Linked DNA regions of Diceros bicornis minor. The protein of the gene in region 2 interacts with the protein of the main gene of each other region in a pairwise test. Links are inferred from orthologs where the notes say so. Each region holds a gene or a part of one and is shown on either strand. Other genes may lie near its edges.

Evidence for each region.
Region 1: the proteins of CLK3 (region 2) and OAS2 interact in binary tests that used the Homo sapiens proteins (3 or more experiments, as listed by UniProt). The two-hybrid records come from large-scale screens. The link is inferred for Diceros bicornis minor from reciprocal best matches to the Homo sapiens genes CLK3 and OAS2.

The regions. Positions count from the first base shown.
Region 1 is NC_080774.1:11,025,689-11,029,593, forward strand, and holds the start of OAS2 (2'-5'-oligoadenylate synthase 2), read left to right. Parts: upstream 1-1,435; 5' UTR 1,436-1,468; coding exon 1,469-1,645; intron 1,646-3,194; coding exon 3,195-3,462; intron 3,463-3,905.
Region 2 is NC_080744.1:67,566,217-67,570,121, forward strand, and holds the start of CLK3 (dual specificity protein kinase CLK3), read left to right. Parts: upstream 1-1,504; coding exon 1,505-1,606; intron 1,607-3,905. UniProt on the Homo sapiens protein: Dual specificity kinase acting on both serine/threonine and tyrosine-containing substrates. Phosphorylates serine- and arginine-rich (SR) proteins of the spliceosomal complex.

The DNA.
Region 1 (3,905 bases), on a different chromosome or scaffold from region 2:
TGGGGTCTATGTCAGGTCAAGTCAGACTGCCATGTTGCCTTCAAGTGGTTTTAACTGGTTTTGACTGTATGTCTCAGCCACCTCCTCCTTCCTCTCTTTATGGTTTCCTGGAAGCTAAAGAGAACATGTCAGGCTTGTCTGAGCAGGGCTGCGGTTACTGGTTTATGGCGTCGGTGGGCCAGGTAACAACTAGATAAGGCCCACCCATATTACGGAAGGTAATCTGTTTTACTTAAAGTCTACTGATTTAAATGTTAATCTCTTCTTTAAAAAATACCTTCCAGGGCCAGCCCGGTGGCGCAGCGGTTAAGTGCGTGCGCTCCGCTTCAGCGGCCTGGGGTTCACAGGTTCGGATCCTGGGCACACACAAACGCACCGCTTGTCAAGCCATGCTGTGGTGGTGTCCCGTATAAAGTGGAGGAAGATGGGCATGGATGTTAGCCCAGGGCCAGTCTTCCTCGGCAAAAAGAGGAGGATTGGCATCGGATGTTAGCTCAGGGCTGATCTTCCTCACAAAAAAAAAAAAAAAGTTCCCAGAAAGATCTAGAACAATGAGCAAATTTCCAGGTACCGTGGCCCAGCCAAGTTGACCCACAAAATTAATCATCACAGCAGAGAAGGACCCTTCTTCCCACACCTTAGGGATCTCTGCCGTCTGTATTTCTTATTACCGCTAGACAGAGGCAGCCCCTGGGAGCCCTCTGTGAGTTTCATTTTCATAGCGTTGCACATCTGTCTCCCTCCAGCCTGTGCTCTCCTGGGCCTATTTTCCATCCTTGCTGGGGGGTGGGGGGGTGGGGAAGCACCTGATGAGGCCCTGCAGGTGCCCACACGTGTGCTGAGGAACTGGGCACACAGAAGCTCCCCCGCACTGACCCCTCCGGGACCTATTCGCCCAGTGGCAGAACTGAAACCTGAGTGTAGCTCAGCCCTTGCCTTGCTGCGCGTCCCTGAGCAAGTCACTTCCCTCTCTGGGGCTCTTTCTCCTCGCTGCTCTCATTGACTCTGAGTTTCCAGGCCACTGAGGACAGGGGAAAAGGGAAAGAACCTCCGAGAACAACCTTCGCCCCTTGTAAAATGTTAATTACTTAACAAACACAAAGCATTCGCCCATTCTAAGCGCTCTGCAGGTGTTACGTAATCCTCACATTAATCCTACGAGAGAGGTACCATTGTTATCCCCTATTTAACAGGTGGGGAAATTGAGGCACAAAAAGGGCAGGCAATGTGCTCCAGCACACAGGTCTGGTGTGTATCGAGCCCCCACCATCGGGCTCCAGAGGCTGCGAGTTGACTCAGAAGGCTTCTGGGAACCGCTGAGAGGCTAACCCCAGCTGCGAGGGCAAACTCGAAACCAAGGAGATGGAGAGCTGGGTGAGTTTCGGTTTCCTGGCTCTCGGCACAGGAGTTTCTCTTTCTCTTCTTCCTGCTCAGCCATTAGCTGTCGGCCCAGCAGCCAGCAGGAGCCATGGGCAACTGGGAGTCCCACCTGTACACAGTGCCTGCTCATAAACTGGACGGGCTCATCCGGGACTCGCTGAGGCCCTCTGAAGACTGTCAGAAGCACATCGACAGCACCGTGAACACCCTCTGTGCCGCCCTGCAGGAAGCCGAGCCGCTCTCCCTGGAGAAAAGGGTCGCCAAAGTGAGTCGCGGGCTGGGCTCTGGGTTTCTGGGAGCCGGGAGATCTCACAGCCACTGGAAGGCAGAGAGACTTGGTGCTGAGCAGCTACGGTGTGCCAGGCTCTGAGCACACAAGACATCAGCTCGTGCTCCCCACACTCGAGTGAGCTGATGGGAGATGATGTACAGCTTAGGAGCACGGGCTAGGAGCCGGCTCTGTCTCTTCCTCCTGTGTGACCCAGTGCAGGTTGCTCACCCTCTCTGCGCCTCAGTCTCTGAATCTGTAAAATGGAGGAGGAATAATACCCACCTCGGGTATTCTTAGCACAGATCCTGGTACATAGTTAGTGCTCAATAACTTAGCCGTGATTACTCACTGTTATTGTTTCCCTCTGCCCCATATCACAGAGGAGTAAACTGAGGTTAGGAGACTTCAGTCAAACTACCAGAAGTTGCTCTGTGGTTTCTCAACAGCAAGGAGGCGGGGAGCTCTTATCAGTCAGAAATGTATGGTGCTGTGGCCACAAATCCCAGGACTGAGGCTGACGATTCGGGGTTAGAGATCTGCCCCCCCGCCCCCCACCCCCACCCCACCCGCCCCATGCTCTCCGGCACCAGCTTCCCTCTTCTCGGCAGACATGTGTCTTCTGGCCTCTGCCTTTAGGCACACTCAGGATCTCTAGCAATAAAGACACCTGGACACTTGGTGGCCCCCGCCCTGGCCCAGATGGGGAAACTGAGGCATGAGGAAGTTATTTAATAGCTGTCATCAGAGCTGGAATTTAAACCCAGGCAATCTGCTTGGGAGCATGCGCCCTTAACCACTATGCCATCCTGCCTCTCAATATTGTTAACTTTTTTCTAATTAAAATAAAACATACAAAAAGAAAAGTGCACAGATCTAAGTGTACAGCCTGGTGGATTGCCACACACAACATACATGTGTAACCTGCACCCAGATCAAGAAACAAAACATTCCACCCGCCAGAGTCCCTGGACCCCCATCCGGTCACTACCTCCAACCCCAGGCAACTGATCCTGACTTATAACAGCATAGATTCATTTCATTGGGTTTTTAACCTTTCTAAATGTAGGGTGACCAACCGTCCAGGTTTGTCCGAGACTGAGGGGTTTTCTGGGACATGGGCCCTTCAGTGCTAAAGCTGGGACTGTCCCGGGTAAACCAGACAGGTTGGTCACCCTCTATAAGTGCAATCATGCACTGTGTGGTTTCTGTGACCATCCTGTTTATGAAATCTATGTTGTTGTGTGTAGGTGGTGTTTATCATTGTGTTGTTGTATGTGTCTCCACTGTGTGGGTACACCACGTTTGTCCATTCTATTGTTGATGGCCATCTGAGTTGCCTCCAGTTTGGAGCCAGTATGGAAAGTGCTGCTATGGGCATCCCGATTCAGGTCTACGGGTGGACGAATGGACGCCTGGTCACTCAATTTTAAGAAATGGTGACATTTTGGACTTTTGCTTGAGTTGAGAAATACTACTGCCTGCTGGGGTGCCCTGTGACCCCAAAGGACCCAGAGTCTCACATCTTTTTCTCTATCGCTGGCAGGGTGGCTCCTATGGCCGGAAAACGGTCTTAAGAGGCAACTCCGATGGTACGCTCGTCATCTTCGTCAGTAACCTTGAAAAATTCCAGGATCAGACGAAAAGCCAACAGGAAATCTTCAAGAAAATCTGGGAGTGTCTGAGAGCCTGTCAGGTCACAGGCCTGGAAGCCAAGGTGCAGATCCAGAGGCCCAACAGTGGGCTCACCATCCATGTGTCCTCAGGATGGCAAAGCATCACTTTTGAGGTGCTGCCTGCCTTCAATGCGCTGGGTGAGCCCACCTGGGTGTATGGGTGTGGGTTCAGATCTGGAAGGGTTTGTTGAGAGAGCAAAGCCAAAGAAAGGGGTGGCAGACAGCCATGTGGGTCCTCTAGGCTGGGGATGGGATAGATACCACTGGTGCTTTCCAAAGTGGGGGACCATAGACCTTCAAGAGAGGAAGTCTCTCCTACCTGGGCTTACTCTCTTCTCTAGAACTTTTCTGTCATCTCTTAATTGACTTTGGCGAAAATGTTCTAGATTCTAGACTCTAGAGAAGAGCTTCTCAAACTGTGACATGCCCACAAATCACCAGAGAACCTTATTAAAATGCAAGTTCTGATTCAGGAGATCAGGGGCAGGGCCTGGGATTCTGTATGTCTAACCTGCCGTGATGCTACTGCTGCTCTGTGGACCACACTTGGGGATTTAGACTAGAATAAACATTGGTTAGAG
Region 2 (3,905 bases):
CCGCGGCCACAGACCAAGCATCGGGGCCGGGCAAGAATGGCAACTGGGAACCTCCGGCCCCTGAGGCGGGATCCCGAGGGCCGGGCTCTCGGTCACGCACCGCGCACTTGAAGAGGCTCCGGAATTGCTACGTTGGGGCGGGTGCATTTGGTTGGAAGGGGACCAGGAGCCGGCCTTGAGGCCGCGTTAGCGTAGCAAGCATCCTGTTTTTACTTAGCTTCGGTTGTTGACTTCGGTTGTGGCTAACGGAGATTTGAGGGGTACTAGGCACCCTCTCAAGCCACGCCTTCAGACCCCAGTTTAGAGGGAAGCCAGAGGCTAAGGACTCAAAAGACCGCCGCAACTCCGTGAGAGCCTCGGCGCGGGCCGCGCCCGCCGGGCGGGGAGACACCGCCTCGCGTCAGGGGCGTGCCCAGCCCTCATGGGGCGGGGCCGCAGGGGCGGCCCGTGCCCGCGGCGCTGGGGAAGCCCCGGCCACTCTCGCGGAGTCGCCCCGGGGGACGGGGCCTGTAGCGATGCCCCGCCCTCCTGCTCCGGCCCCTGCGTGGCGTGGGGGCAATTAGGGGCCGCTCCCGCCGGCTTCGCTGAGGGGACGCCAGCCCCGCCCGGCGGGGCGTGCACGCCCCGAACCGTGAGGTCTCGCGAAGGATTCGGCCTGTTTCCTCATCCGGAAAACGGGGGCCTCGTTATCCCGCCCTGACCGGCGCGGGACAGTCGGTGGGAGGGGTTTTGGTGATCCCACGCTCGCGACCTCGGCTGAAGGGGTCGTCGAGTGACTCGGCGCAGAAATGGCCGAAGGCCTGACGGCGGCAGGGCGCGGGGTTTATTAGCTGAGAACCATTGCTGGCCCGCTGACTGCGGTGCTCAAGGAAAGGGGCCCCCCCTGTAGCCCAGACCCCATCCTCCGAGGCCCCGCCGACGGGGCTCTCGGGCATCTTCCCAGACACTGCTCTGCATGCACCTGGAAGCTTGGGCGTGCCGCCATGGCTTTAAAACCCCCCCACACAAGGAGAATAAGGTCTCATTTGCTTCTTTCACGTAACCGGGTGATGACCGCCTTCCCGAGCCTCAGGCACAGAGCTCCATCCTCTTTAGCGCCCTCCTGGGCCCCGGCACCGGGCGAGCGTTCAAGGTCCACCCGGTTCTCACTGAGCCGACAGCGAAACAATGCCCTGCCCGCGCGCAGGAAGGGTTGGCGGGCACGGGCGGGGTCGGGGCGGCAGAGCGGGCCAGCCCCCGGCCAGGTCGGGGCTCCACCTTCCGGCTCCTAGCGCCCGCCGGCGGGGGACGGCGCCTCTGTCGCGTCTTTGGGGCCTACGTGCGTCGCGACACGGCGCGGGGCGGGCCGCGGCCTGGGACGTCCCCTCGGCTCTCCCGGAACCAGTCTCCACGACTGCCGCACCGACCGGGGCGGAGAAGGCGGGTCCTCCAGAGCCTTCGAGGCGGGGGCTAGAGCGGCCAGGCCACCGAGGCGGGTCGAGCCGGGGCTGGCGACGGCTGCGTCATGCGAAGGGCGGGGCCGCCACGGGCGGAGGCCGGAGCCGGAAGCGGAAGAGGCGCTCGGAGCTGGGAGTGGGGCCTAGCTGCAGCCGGAGCCTGGGAGACGGTGAGTGTGGGCCCGGGCCCGCGAGGGCGGCGGCGGCGGCGGCGGGGTCTGAGTCGTCGGGGCGGGCTCGCTGGGTGCGGTACCCCGGGCTCCTGGTTCGGTCTTGGCCTCCTCTCGTTCCTTCTCGTCGGCTCAGTTCAGGCCGCGGCCCCGACCTCTCACCCCTGACCCGCCACTTCTCCCCCGGAGGGCGGTCACCACAGACCCCGACCTCTCGATCCCGCGGTGTCGGAGTCCGAGTCTGAGGGGCCTCTGAGGTCCCTGCAGGGATCCAGTTTCGGCCCTGCACCTGCCCGAGGAAATGGGGTCGGGGTCCTACGCGGGATAGCCTGGAGGGGCCTTCAGACCCCACCCCCCCAACTCCCCTCGAGGCTTGTTCCGCAGACGACTCCTTCCTGCGCGTCCTGGCGTTTGATTCTGCTCCAGGCTGGCCTTCCTCCTGCCCCCCAGATCTCCCCTTGCTGCCATTGGCGGCGGTTACGGGCCACCGGGCTCTGGGACCTGAGGTGACAGGAAGGGACGCCAGCGAGGGCCGCGGGCTCCCTGCGTGTTTTGTTGTGATGGTGGAGCCGTTCCAGCCCGGGGGAGGGGCCTGGCCAAGCTGACGGTACAAATGCCCCGGCTGCTCTTCGGCCCGAGCGGCCCGGGAGTCTCTGTGCTTTAGTTCCGGGTGTGGGTGCCCTGGTGTGGAGCTGGGTTGGGGATTGCCTGAGCCAGGCCCCCGTCGAGGCGGAGTTGGCGGCCTTCCAGCTTCCCTTCTCCATGCCCTTGAAAAGGAGGAGCGTTTCACCCGGTGGTGGCAGCTTGCAAGGTGGCAGGTTTGAGGTTGCAGTGGTGGGGCAGCGTCAGCCAAAAATAACCATGGGGCGCTGGGGTGGTAGGGATCCGGGAGGGCAGCCGCTGACCTGGCTGGCTGCTCTTCTTGTCAGCCCAGTTCTCTGGCCAGGAACGGCAGATGAGAAGCCAGCTCGGCCTGTGCTCAGAGAAAAGCTGGCATCTTCCGCCTGGTTTCCTTCATATTACCTTTCTCTTCATTGTGCAGAGCAGAGCTCTCTGGAGCATAATTGTGGCCCTTAGCATTTTGAAATAACCCGTTTGCTGTGGTCTCAGAGAATCAGAGATAATTGATGAGAAATGGGCCCTAGGGGCCGGCCCCATGGCGCAAGCAGTTAAGTGCGCGCTCTCCGCTGCGGCGGCCCGGGGTTCGCCGGTTCGGATCCCGGGTGCGCACCCACACACCGCTTGTCAAGCCACGCTATGGCGGCGTCCTATATAAAGTGGAGGAAGATAGGCACGGATGTTAGCCCAGGGCCAGTCTTCCTCAGCGAAAAAAGAGGAGGATTGGCAGATGTTAGCACAGGGCTGATCTCCTCACAAAAAAAAAAAAAAAGAAAAAACAAATGGGCCCTAGAGCCCTGGCTGGGAAGATAATGAGGGGCATGTAGTATTTCCAGTGTTTCACTTGCCTAGAATGTGTTAAAGGAGAGGTTATTTTCTTTGATTGCCTTGTGTGTGGTACTTCATAGCTCTCATACTTGTCATCTCCTTTGCCAAGTTGGCTGGGAGGTGGTGGTGTCTCCATTTTCCAGGTATAGTAACCAAGGCCTAGAGTGACTTGTATAAGGTCAGGAGGCCAGTAAGTGGCAGCACTGGGATTTAGTTTAGGGTTTTCTACTTAGAGCCTGCACCTTCACCCCCCCAACCTTGGAAAGGACTTTGGAATCTTTTTAATGTTGTTAACGAAAAGCTGCCTTCAGTACTTCTTGTGGGCCCAGACCTGTGCTAGGCATTTGACCTGAAGGCATGTGCTAGGCATGTACTTAAAGGAGTAACATAATTTAATCTTCACAGAACCCTGTAAGAAATTACTATTCCCTTGTTGCAAGAGGAAGCTGAAGGTCAGAGTAGTCTAATAACTTGCCTAAAGGCACACAGCGAGAAGTGGCAGTGCCAGGATTCAGATTGACATCTATCTAACTCTGAAGACGTCTTCTCTCCACTAATATCACCATGTGTGGACATAAGATCTTCTAGGTCCCAGGAGGGAGTCTTAGGCCTAGGACTAGACCATGTCCTCCAGCTCTGTCTGTGCAGTCAGGATAGGCAGGGCGTCTGCCCTGGCTACTGGAGCATCTTCCATGTCACTTAGTGAGTGAGATGTGAGATAGCACCTTCATTCCATAGCTTGGGCACCTGACCAGGGTCATTGCAGAAAAACAGTGAAACATTAGTCAGCTGAGCATCAAAACAGAAGAGCAGTCTAAGCTCTTGAGGAGTTGCCAGTGATTTTACATAGTAT